Linked DNA regions of Ovis aries. The protein of the gene in region 1 purifies or fractionates together with the protein of each later gene. This does not show direct contact. Links are inferred from orthologs where the notes say so. Each region holds a gene or a part of one and is shown in the gene's direction. Other genes may lie near its edges. The genes, in order: TOX4, PPP1CB and PPP1R10.

Region 1 (4,263 bases):
TTACTCTGAAACTGCACCTGCATGGCAAGAAGGCTAGTTTTATGTATATAATCTTTATTTGGGTTGGGGTTATGGAGATTATGGGGAATGGGTTGTTAAAACTCAGCAGGTCGTCCCATATCACAAATTTGTGGAAGATGTTCACATTTCCCACGCTTACCAGAGAGTTCTTGAAACTCATGATTATCATATCTTTTCTTTAAAACAAAACTTACCAGTTTCATGTACCTTTTATTCTAGGTCTGGGATGGCTCTTCCATTTGCTTCCTCCTCTCCAACACACACACAAAATCTATACTGTAGTGATTACTTTGAAAAAGTAATGAGGTTCACACTACTTTACCGCAGAGTAAGGCGAGTTTTTGAATTAACAGTACGTTTTCATAGGATTTTACATAAACATACAAACTACATTTGTTAAAAAAAAAAAAAAAATCCTGAGGCAACTAATCCATACCTCATGGTCATCTCTAAATCTAGTCACCCTTCAATTACCTACTCCCCATTACACTACTGCCCATTTCTCAGCATTTAGTCATTCTTCACTTAACATAACTTTGGACTAACCCCAAAATAGGAAGACGTAACTTTTCTACTTCGAACACTAAAGCTGCTAACTTTCTATTTTAGTCAGATTTCATAATCTATTCTACGAGAGGTATATGCGCTTACCTATTGTGAGGTCGTGGACAGGTTGGAATCGCTTGTCTGTAAACTGCAGGAGGAGACATGACTTCCCCACACCTGAAAGAAGACGCGTGCGTTAGGAGTTAGGCAGCGAGAACAGACCAGTGTCGGGGCGTCCAGGACTGGGGAAGGGGAGCCCCGAGCCCCGCCCCCGGCGGCCCGCCCCGCCCCCCGCTTCACTTAATCGCCCAGCCCACTAAATGAGCCCCGCCCCCAAGCCCCGACTTGGGTGTTTCGGATCCCCGCCCCAGCTTGAGGATTGTCGCCCGCGGGTTACCTGTGTCTCCGATGATGATGTACTTGAAGAGATAAGCATAAGTCATGGTCCCTTTTCCTCTGGATTCCGGGTCCGCCCGACTTCTACAGCCACTTACCTCCGGCCTCTCTAGCCGCTCAATCTATCGACCTCCGGCCCCTCTAGCCCAGTTAACGTCTCTATTGCTCTCCCTCGAAATCCCGTTTCGGTCGGAGCGACGGTAATACCCAGATACCACCTCCGAGGACGCCTCCAACACTCCTACATGCCATTATCCCACCAAGCTCCAGGAGGCGATAGCTAGCCTGTCAGTCCGCTCGGCCTTCCCGGGCCTGACTCGCAGCAGCCCCAAGGCGCTCCTTCCAATCAGCGGAGAGCGACGCACGACGTTGGGGAAGTGACGGCAGTTCCGTGTCCTGTGTGGGGGCGGTGGGAGTGATGAGTTCACTGAGACCGTGATAGCCGTTGTGTGAAGATGGAGGTAGGCTCCTGAGCGTTGAGAAGCCTGGCGAGAGAGCGCGGCTGACGGGGTTGAAGCAGAAGCGGGAAGCGGCAGATGGGAGGGGAGAGAGAGCGGGGTTTGGGAGGTGTTGTCATAATGTCTGGGTCAGAAAACGTCGCTCCGATCTAACTCTCTGCTTCCCCTAACTTATCCCCGCGGCTTTCTTTTGGTTTCCAGTTTCCCGGAGGAAATGACAATTACCTGACGATCACAGGGCCCTCGCACCCCTTCCTGTCAGGGGCCGAGGTGAGCATGAGTTGCCGACGCTGCGCGGAGAGGGTGGGAGGCAGCGGTGGGGTAGGATGATGGGGAGGAGAGCGCGGACGCCAGGGCCCGGGTTGGGAACCGGAGGCTGAGATCGATATCTGGAGAAAAGTGGCAGCTGCCTTCAGAGCCTATGAGGACTACGCGGAAGGCCAGGAAAGCTGCTGTCATCAGAAAAGCAGGACTCTGGAAAAAGCGAACCTATTTTAGAGCGATTCTGTATTGGAGTATAGAATGAAATTGTCTCCTTTCGTGGAGGAGAAACAAGTACAATAATGGGAGATCGCAGGAGGGAGAGAATGTTTCAGCCAAAGAAATTTGGGAAGGGGCAGGAGTTTACCTAACACGTCAACTGTGGAATGTGTTCATTCTTAAACCGTACTCTATTGAAGGGGTATGTGTTTCGTTGAAACTTCCTACCTAGCAATTTTTTGAAAAGTTAATGGTTATGTTTACTTACAGAGTGTTAGCTTGTTGTGCTAGTGAGAGAATGAAAGGGAATATTTGCGAGAAAACATGGAGTTGAGTAGAGCACGCGTTTCTGTTTGCCAGTGCCTCAGAGTTTGGGTAGGTTCCTTCACCCTTATGTGTCAGTTTCCCTAGCTGTCAAAGGATTGTAATAATAGTTTATTACGATGTTGTGAAGTGGAAGTAATGATCATGGTGATGTCCTTTAGTGTTCTTGGAAAAGGTTTAATTGAAATGTTGTCATAAATATGTATGATTTGTTTAGACAAGGCAAAAGAAAAGGGTGGAACAAAAATAAATTCAGTCTTTGAGAAACGGAAATTTTGAACTTTCTGTCTTTTGAGAATTTTTAATTGTTTTCAAACTTGGCATAAACCATTTGATCACTTTTTTTGTATCAAGAATTCTCAATTGCTGTTGAATGAACTTATCCATAGGGTGGCAAAGAGTTGGACACGACTGAAGCGACTTGGCATGCATTCATGAACTTATCCTGTAACAAACCTTAATAGAGTTTCTTGCAAGGAAAAGAAATGTCCACAAAAATAACTTATCATAAAAAAGTTGAAAAAATTCGACTTCTTTGAAATATAAAGTGTTTTGGGTTTGTGTGGTTTTTTTTTGTTTTTTTTTTTTTGGCCATGCTGTGCAGCTCTCTAGGTTGTAGTTCCCCAACCAGGGACTGAGCCCAGGCCCAAACAGTTGAGAGTGCCAAGTCCTGACCACTAGAGCAACAGGGAATTTCCAAAATTTAAGAACTTTTCATCAGTAGACATCATTAAGAAATTAAATAGGCACTTCACAGACTGGGAGAAGATATTTTATTACATATATCTGGCTTAGATTCAGAGTATATTCAGGTACTTCTGCAGAGTGAAATAATCCACTTTTTAAATGGACAAAAGATTTAAACTTGCATATCAGAAGAGAGGGTATCCAAATTGTCACTAGGCATATGAAAAAGTATCATCATTACTTATCAGGGAAATGCCAATTAACAATGAGGTACCATTTTATACCCATCATAATGGTGAAAATTTAAAAAACTGATCATTCCAGGAGTTAATAAGCATGTAGATAACTCTTAATCATTGCTGGTGAGACTGTAAATCGATTCAGCCTCTTTGGAAAACTAGTAGTATCTACGACACATGAAATATAGTTATCCTGTGACCTGGTAATTCCACTCCTTGATGTATACATAAGAGAAATGAATGCATATACTAAACAAAAACATGTATGTCCACAGAAACTTGATTTATATAGCTAAACAGTGGAAACAAATGTCTATAAACTGATAGGTTTGTTAAAGGGAATACTACACAGCAATAAAAAATAATGAACTACTAATGCAACCTGAGTGATCTCAAAAATATACTATTGGATAAAAGAAGCCAAATAAAAAAGAGTAGACACTCTATGGGTTTATTTTTAAATTAAGATGAAGAATAGACAGCACTAAACTATGCTGACAGAAATCAGAATAGTGGTACCCACTGTGGAAGGGAGGGAGTACTGACTAGAGAGGAGCATGAGAAGATTTTTTAGAGTGATGGAAATGTTCTGTATCTTTATCTGGGCAGTAGATAATTGGGTGTTAAGGTATGTAAAAATTCATTGAGCTATATACTTAAAATTTGTGTGCTTTACATTACTTATACCTCAATAAAATAAGAAATAATAATTTTTAAAGATGAAGTGTCCAGAGAGGCAGGCTTAGCATTTATAATAGCATTGTTTGAGCTAGGAGAGCTCTGTAGTCTGAAGGGAGTTTAATCTTTCTGTTTATCTTGTTTAGGTTGGCACTTAAATAATGATATTGTACTTTGAGCACTCTGGGGAAATTAGTCATAAGGATGCATGCTTGCATGTTAAGTCGCTTCAGTCCTGTCCGATTTTTTGTCTCCTCTGTCCATGGGATTCTCCAGGCAAGAATACTAGAATGAGTTGCCATTCCCTTCTCTAGGAGATCTTCCTGATCCAGGGATCAAACTGACCTCTCTTGCATCTCCTACATTGACAGGCAGGTTCTTTACACTAGCGCCATCTGGGAAGCCCCAGTCATAAAGATACCTGTCCTTAATTT
Region 2 (2,751 bases), on another chromosome or scaffold:
CTCCCTATAGATTTCTGTGTCCATTCACAAATACTCTAGTCTTTCAGGTATATATCTCATAATTAGAGTTTTTGGAAATCTAAGTCATGTCAGTCATTCTTGGTGGCATGTGTTTAAATTGGAAATTGGTGTATGAATCCTTAGGTAGTGGCTTTGCTACTAAAAGAATGTGAATTTAGATTTTGTTTTCTTTTGCAAGATGAATGGATGGGACAGGCGTTGAGTAGAGTTTATGAACTCTGATGAAAATGATGTAGAATATTTGCCTAGAAAAACCTTCCAAATAATCTTAAAGTATCTGTTTGTGAATATAGAAACATTTACATTTAAGAAAGAGACCAGCTTTAGCATGCTACTTAATCATTCTTGTTCATGGACTAAAATAACTTTATTTTTTTGTCCTTGACACCCTGTATTTCTCTTAAAAAATGTAACAGAGGTTTCCATTACTATCAGCTAATACAATTGAATGCTAAATGTTTGATTTCTCGTTCAGATTTAAATGTAGTAACCAGGCCATATCCTTCAACAAATAGTTTGTATTTTTGTTGGTGTGTTTTTTTTGGTTTTTGGTTTTTTTTTGTTTTTTTTTTTTTTTTGATATAACCAAAGTGTTGCTGGGGATGTGGAGAAGTTGGAACCTTATATATTGATAGTGGGAATGGAAAATGGTGCAGCCACTTTGGAAAATAGTTTGTCAGTTCCTGAAAAAGTTAAATATAAAGTTTCTATATGACCCAGCATTTCCACTCCTAGGTATATACCTGAAAGAACTGAAAATAGTACTCAAATACATGTATATATACATATTAATAGGAACATTATTTATAATACCCAAAGGTAGAAACAACCCAAATGTTCATCAGCTAAAGAATGAATAAACAAAATGTGGAGTATCCAAAATGTGGCATATTGTTTGGCAATTAAAAGTAATAAAGTACTCATACATGCTACATCAAAATCATTATCTCAGTGAAAGAAGCCAGTCACAATAGCACAAATTGTCTGGTTTCATTTATTTAAAATAGCCAGAAAAGACAGTTCAATAGAGGAAAGTAAAGTAGTGATTGCTTAGAGTTGAAGGGGGTTAGGGCAGTCAATAATGGAAATAGAGTGAGTGAGTGCTTTTGGGAACAAGGTTTCTTCCTGGAGTGACAAACATGTTCTAATGTTAGATTATACCAGTGGTTTCATAGTTGTAAATATGTTAAAAAGTGTTGTCTTTCTACAGTTTAAATGGTGACCTTTATGATACATAATATATATAGCTAAGTGAAAGATCTGTATACACATAGTAAATGAAGATTGAAGAATTTGTGACTAATTACCCTCTAAATAAATAGGAGAATTATGATGAGAACCTGGATCTTTTGACTCTTAGTGCTTTTTTCTCATCACAGAGATACACTAGTTTGAAAATTTTTATACTTAGATCTAAGAATTGAATAGTTGATGGGTTTTGTGTACTTGAGCTTTTGTCACTAAATTGTCAATGGAATGACCAATAATAGTGATATTCAGACATTTGTACTTTTTATTTATTTTTTGATACTTTTTAAATGTGAGAAATGACTGTAGAACTTTGCTATTTTTTCCTACAATTTTACAATTGATGTCATTTATTGAGAAGCCTACTATGTAACAATAATTTCCTTAAACTTATTGTACTTGAAAAAGGTAACATTGTTATTAAATTATTTACTTTAAGATATTGAAACCGTCTGAAAAGAAAGCTAAGTACCAATATGGTGGACTGAATTCAGGACGTCCTGTCACTCCACCTCGAACAGCTAATCCACCGAAGAAAAGGTGAAGAAAGGAACTCTGTAAAGAAACCATCCGATTTGTTAAGGACATACTTCATAATCTTTAAGTGTGCACTGTAAAACCATCCAGCCATTTGACACCCTTTATGATGTCACACCTTTAACTTAAGGAGACGGGTAAAGGATCTTAAATTTTTTTCTAATAGAAAGATGTGCTACACTGTATTGTAATAAGTATACTCTGTTATAATATTCAACAAAGTTAAATCCAAATTCAGAATTACCCATTAAAGTTACATCTTCACGTACCACAGTTTTTAAAGCTGAAAAGCATCCCAGTTAAACTAGATGTGATAGTTAAACCAGACGAAAGCATGATGATCCATCTGTGTAATGTGGTTTTAGTGTTGCTTGGTTGTTTAATTATTTTGGGCTTGTTTTGTTTCTGTTTGTTTGTTTTTGCTGAAATAATGGCAAATTCTTTAAATTTTTTCCCCAAACATTTAAAAAAGTGCAATGTGGGAAGATTTTTGAAGACATTCATCAACTATTAATTTTCCATTGCTTATTTACTTATGTACCTGTTTGATCTTACTAAGAAAACTTATGCCTCATTACAGTAAAAAGGAATTTAGAGATATTTTTTAAAATATGCAAACTGTCCAATCGAGTGATTTAATCAGTTTGGGCAACTGTTACAGCTGATAGTGAATATTTTGCTTCATACAGAAATGGCCACTGATTTGAGTTTGTGCACTCTAATTTTAACTTATTGATGCTCTATTGTGCAGTAGCATTTCATTTAAGATAAGGCTCATTTAGTATACCCAACTAGTTGGTAATGTGATTATGTGGTACCTTGGCTTTAGGTTTTAATTCGCACGAAACACCTTTTTGGCATGCTTAACTTTCTGGTAACACCCTCACCTGCATTGGTTTTGTTTTTTTGGGTTTTTCTTTGTTCTTGTTGTTTTTTGTTTTTAGA
Region 3 (4,419 bases), on another chromosome or scaffold:
ATTTGAAAATACAACTCAAAAACCTGGCACACATAAGGTTTCTGTGCTTCCTGAGATGAACTCAGGGTAATGGAGAAAAAAGGGAGAATGTCTATCTTCTTGGAGTCAAGATGTGTGCTACGAAAAGGATGTAAAGGACAGGTGAGTCTCCCAACTCAACTGAATCCTGAATCACTGAGTTGCCCGGTCTTATAAAAAGTTGATGGTCAACATTCCATATGGCAGAACAAACGTGAGTCCTAACGCTATGTCCCAAGCTACCAAGTCTATAATTAACTCTGTGGTAGCCCCTCTCATCACTCTTCAGTCTCACTTTAGGGAGTGGCAGATGGGCAAGCCCTCCAATATCACGCTGCCCCATCAAGAATCTCCAGGGTGGTGAGTACGTGTGACTGAGGGGAAACCTCCATCCAAAGTAGTTATGCTCCCATGTATGCTTTAGGAAGAAACTGATTTAGTGAGATAAAGAGCCGAGAAACTGGTCCCCTGGTCGTGAGAATGTATTCTGGCTTTATTGAGCGATAGCCGGGCTGGTAGTAGTTAGTGTCCCTCAAAACCCAATGACACCCTTGGGCATCAAAGATTTAGACACCACCATACAGTTAACAGTTGGTTTGTGTTTGGCCAAGGGGTCCACATTCCATCGCCTAAATATCCGGCCGAGATGGAAAGCTGGGAAGAGAATGACATCCAACCCTGGCTCTTTACCCTTGTCTCAAGATTAGAAAACGCGCTGTGCTGAGGAATGAGAGGGGAAGGGGGAGGATGGGGGAAGCAGAGCGTTTCCTTGACAGCCAATGTACAAGCACTTGGGAAGCTCTCCGCTCCAGGATCCCTGGCAGTGGAGCGACGACCTAGAGAAAGTACAACCAAATCTGAGGTTGTACAAAATGTGCCCCAAGGAGTTACCTGAACTCCGTAGGCACCTCTGAAGGGCGAAATGTTAGGAAGGCGCCTCAGCAACACGTTCAATATGGAGGCAGCCATCTTGACGTACCCGCAAAGCAGGCACGTCCGCAAACGAGACTGCGCATGTTCCAGGAACCAGAGTAGGGTGGGGCCAAGGACGACCCCGCAGTGCGGAAGGCGGACGCGCGTCTGCGTCAGGACGGAAGCGTGAGGGGCGGGCGTAGGGAGAGGGCAATTTCAACTGCGTCACAATCGAATTCGGCCTTAAAATTGCGTTTTTGCTGAACCAGTCACTATGACTTTTCACTCTCATTCTTAGAGTCTGTGTTTTAAGCAATTTTGAAGTCGCTTTTGACCCTGATCCTTTCATTGCGCATGCGCCGGGCCGATTCTACCAACCCTTGTTGAGAAATGTTCTCGAGGGCGGAAGTGGTGGAAGCAGAGGAAAGGGAGGTACTAGGCTGCTTGGTCACGCGCACGCGTTAGGGCCCCCACCCCCAACCAAGGAAGGAGGCGGAAGAAGGTGCCCGGGGGAAGGGGCTGAGCGAAGGTTAAGGCCGGATATCCAATCAGCTGGTGAGTGGTTTCCCTGGTTGACCAATGAATTCACGCCTCGCGCAAATTGTCTCGCGAAGGGGGCGTTTCACTAGCACGTTTGGGCGCGTTGGGCGGTGTCCTCGTATAAAAGACTCCGCCCGAGCGGGCAGCCGCCATTCTGGGGTTCGTTTAGAGGTAAGTGTTGCCATTTTGTCGGTTGGTGGGTAAAATTTTGCTCGGAGAGTTGGCCTGGGGAACGGGTCAAACGCGGGCTCAGTTGAGAGCCATGATTCGTATTAAGCGGCTGTATTCGGGGTGGGACATGGAAGTGTTTGGGGACAACAAAAATGGTACTTTTGGGTGTTTTAATAGCAGCCCGTACTGATTACATCTTTCTCCCTTGTGTTCCTTTTATCCCAGGTTTGAATTTTCTCGGAGAAAGACAGGCCGGCCACCAGGAGAAAAGAAACAAGCCGCAGCACAGCAACATCTAAGCCCTTGAAAGGATCCAGAGAGAGGGGGGAAAGGGAAAAGAGCAGCCACCAGCCCAACCACTTGTGTCTTCTGCCCCTTCCCACCTATCTTGCCCACCCCACCAGCCCACGCTGCCTGGGACTTGAAATCTGTGGCCGAAGGACCGTCACCACATAACTTCAAAAATAATCAACCACCCACCCTTCCCAAACTCACCCAAGTCCACTCATCCAGCGTTTACTTTTTTTTAATCCACTCAGAACTTTTTTTCTACGACCCCCCTCCCTAAATGGAGTTGGGTGGGGGGGAAATGAATACTGAGTTGGCCTTTATTTTTTCTAAAGAGATTTTTTGATCCAATGAGGCCCCCCAAATAATTGAGTTTTGGGTCCTGGTTGGTTGTTTTATTTTTTTCTCCAAAATTTTAATCCCCTCCCCCCCTGAGCCCGAGGTGCTGACGTCGCAAAAAAATTGGATAGTAAGTGTCGAATTTTCAAAAACCAGCCTTGCAACAAGAAATCAACGTTTCCCGTTGTGAAACCAAAAATAATGAGAGGAAGAAATGAGACCATAGAACAAATAGAGAACTGGAGAAGGACCGATCCGGTCACTTAATCTCCATTAAAAAGGGCCGTTGGGTCTAAAACAGTGTTCTCTCTCCCTTAACCACCTACCTCTTCCCTGCTCTGCCGCAGGCAAGGAGAGGGTGGAGGGAGGGCCTGCGAGTTAGGATTTTGATGGTTAACCCTTGGTAATCCAGCCAATTTCCAGACTGCCAAAGCTATAAGTGTTTGCTTTTTATAAGGAGGAATGGTTACCTTCCTCTCGTTAGCAGTCTTCAAAAGGGTTAATGAGCTCACATACAAAAGATGGTGGATCTTGTGGCCCAGAAGTCCCACTTCTTTGTGTGTGAGACAAGCAGGGCGCTTTTCAATTTGCCAGATTAATAAGCAATCTGTACATAAAGATTGCAGGGTAAGGAGATGGGCGGAGAGAAGTAATAGTTGGGTATCTTTTAAAATGATTGTTAACTCCTCTCAATTTTAATGTAATATGCTTGGGGTATATTTGTGTGGTTAATTTAGGTGGCAATCTAGGAATAAAGATTGCAAGACACTTAATTCAGGGCAAAATATAATCTTAGTGCCAATACATACTAGATTGATAGCTGGGGAGGTAAAGAATGTTTTGTAATTGTTGCAGATTGCATAGGTTATTTAAAAGAAAAAGTAACATTTTAACTTGATACTTTCTGGTCGGGGGAATACAGTTAGAGGGTGGAAAGGTTGGGGGAATGTGGAATTCAGGAGTATTAATTTTACAAGCCATTTAGTGCAATTGAATGCTATCTAAAAGATTTGTGTCGTTAAAAGGAATTTTTTTTTTCTTCCCTGCTTCAATATGGCGACTTTCTTTGTCCTTTGTCTTCCAAGCGGCGTCGCAGGTTGTGTCTTGACCCATTTTTCTCCTGTCCTCCCACCTCAACCCTATTTGTTGAGAGGGGTCCAAGTCCTCCCCCCCCCCCGTTTCCCTTTATAGGGAAGATGCTGGGGGGGGGGGGCGGTGGGTGGTCGTTAGTAGCAAGTTGAACCTCAATTGCAAATTCAGTTCCTCCCCGCAGAAAATTGTTCTTTTAAATACTTTAATTGCCTGTATTCTCACAAAGCTCTTATTGATTCAAAATAGGTCAGACTATTCAGGATGGACTGCTTTTTTCTTTTTTGTTTTTTACTAAAAAAGTGGTTTTTTTAAATGTAAAGAGCTACCGGCGGAGCCTGGATAGCTTTAAGTTTGAGTCTTCTCCATTACAAAATGGCGTCCCAGCTTCTTTGTTTTTCCTTCCCCGTTTGCCATCTAGAGCTTAGGGCCGCCCTAGAAACTTGGTCAAGGGGGAGGAGCCGCCCTGAAAGGTGATGTAATCAGCTTTCTTCCTCCTTTCTCCACCCTCTCGAAACCCCGCCCCCGAGCAGATGCCTTCTGGATTCCTCATGCACGCTGCTGCTAGACGGGAAAAGCCATTTTCCTTATGTTCCTTAACCTTCTGTAACCATTATCTTAAAAGGAAAAAAAGCTTGTCGCAATTAGATCTTGAAGCTGTCTCCTTGGGCAGCTCTAGTTTTTGTATATAAGGATCCCGAGCCTGTTGCTTTTATTTTCACCCTCTCTCATCACTACTGCTTGGAAGTTTTTCCCTGCTTTAGTTGCCTGGGGTGGAAAACCAAACAGCTGTATTTTAGGACTGGAAGCTTTAGCGGGGGTGTGAGTGTGTGTTGGGGGATCCTGGGGGAAGACACAAAGATGGTGAAACTAACAGGAGTAAACAGCTGGGGCCTGATGACCCTGAAATGTGCCGTTTGTGCTCAGGACTGAGTCCGTCCTTGGGCCTCCTGCGTGTGGTCGATTTGTATAATGGAAATCGGGGGGAGAGTGGGTCCTTCAGGACTGATTTCTAAATGGCCCTTATTCCCGCCTTGGGTCTGGGGGTGAGCTCTTTGTGTT

What was found.
Region 2: the proteins of TOX4 (region 1) and PPP1CB purify together in Homo sapiens (affinity purification with mass spectrometry; 5 studies listed by BioGRID and IntAct, with this or other methods). This does not show direct contact. The link is inferred for Ovis aries from reciprocal best matches to the Homo sapiens genes TOX4 and PPP1CB.
Region 3: the proteins of TOX4 (region 1) and PPP1R10 purify together in Homo sapiens (affinity purification with mass spectrometry; 3 studies listed by BioGRID and IntAct, counting the BioPlex papers as one, with this or other methods). This does not show direct contact. The link is inferred for Ovis aries from reciprocal best matches to the Homo sapiens genes TOX4 and PPP1R10.

What each region holds. Positions count from the first base shown.
Region 1 is NC_056060.1:24,038,095-24,042,357, reverse strand, and holds the start of TOX4 (TOX high mobility group box family member 4), read left to right. Parts: upstream 1-1,389; 5' UTR 1,390-1,418; coding exon 1,419-1,424; intron 1,425-1,622; coding exon 1,623-1,691; intron 1,692-4,263. Other genes in the region: RAB2B (ras-related protein Rab-2B), read right to left, coding at 673-744, 965-1,010. UniProt on the Homo sapiens protein: Transcription factor that modulates cell fate reprogramming from the somatic state to the pluripotent and neuronal fate. In liver, controls the expression of hormone-regulated gluconeogenic genes such as G6PC1 and PCK1.
Region 2 is NC_056056.1:35,718,907-35,721,657, forward strand, and holds part of PPP1CB (serine/threonine-protein phosphatase PP1-beta catalytic subunit), read left to right. Parts: intron 1-1,708; coding exon 1,709-1,813; 3' UTR 1,814-2,751. UniProt on the Homo sapiens protein: Protein phosphatase that associates with over 200 regulatory proteins to form highly specific holoenzymes which dephosphorylate hundreds of biological targets.
Region 3 is NC_056073.1:27,487,813-27,492,231, forward strand, and holds the start of PPP1R10 (serine/threonine-protein phosphatase 1 regulatory subunit 10), read left to right. Parts: upstream 1-1,590; 5' UTR 1,591-1,641; intron 1,642-1,866; 5' UTR 1,867-2,398; intron 2,399-4,419. Other genes in the region: MRPS18B (small ribosomal subunit protein mS40), read right to left, coding at 910-987.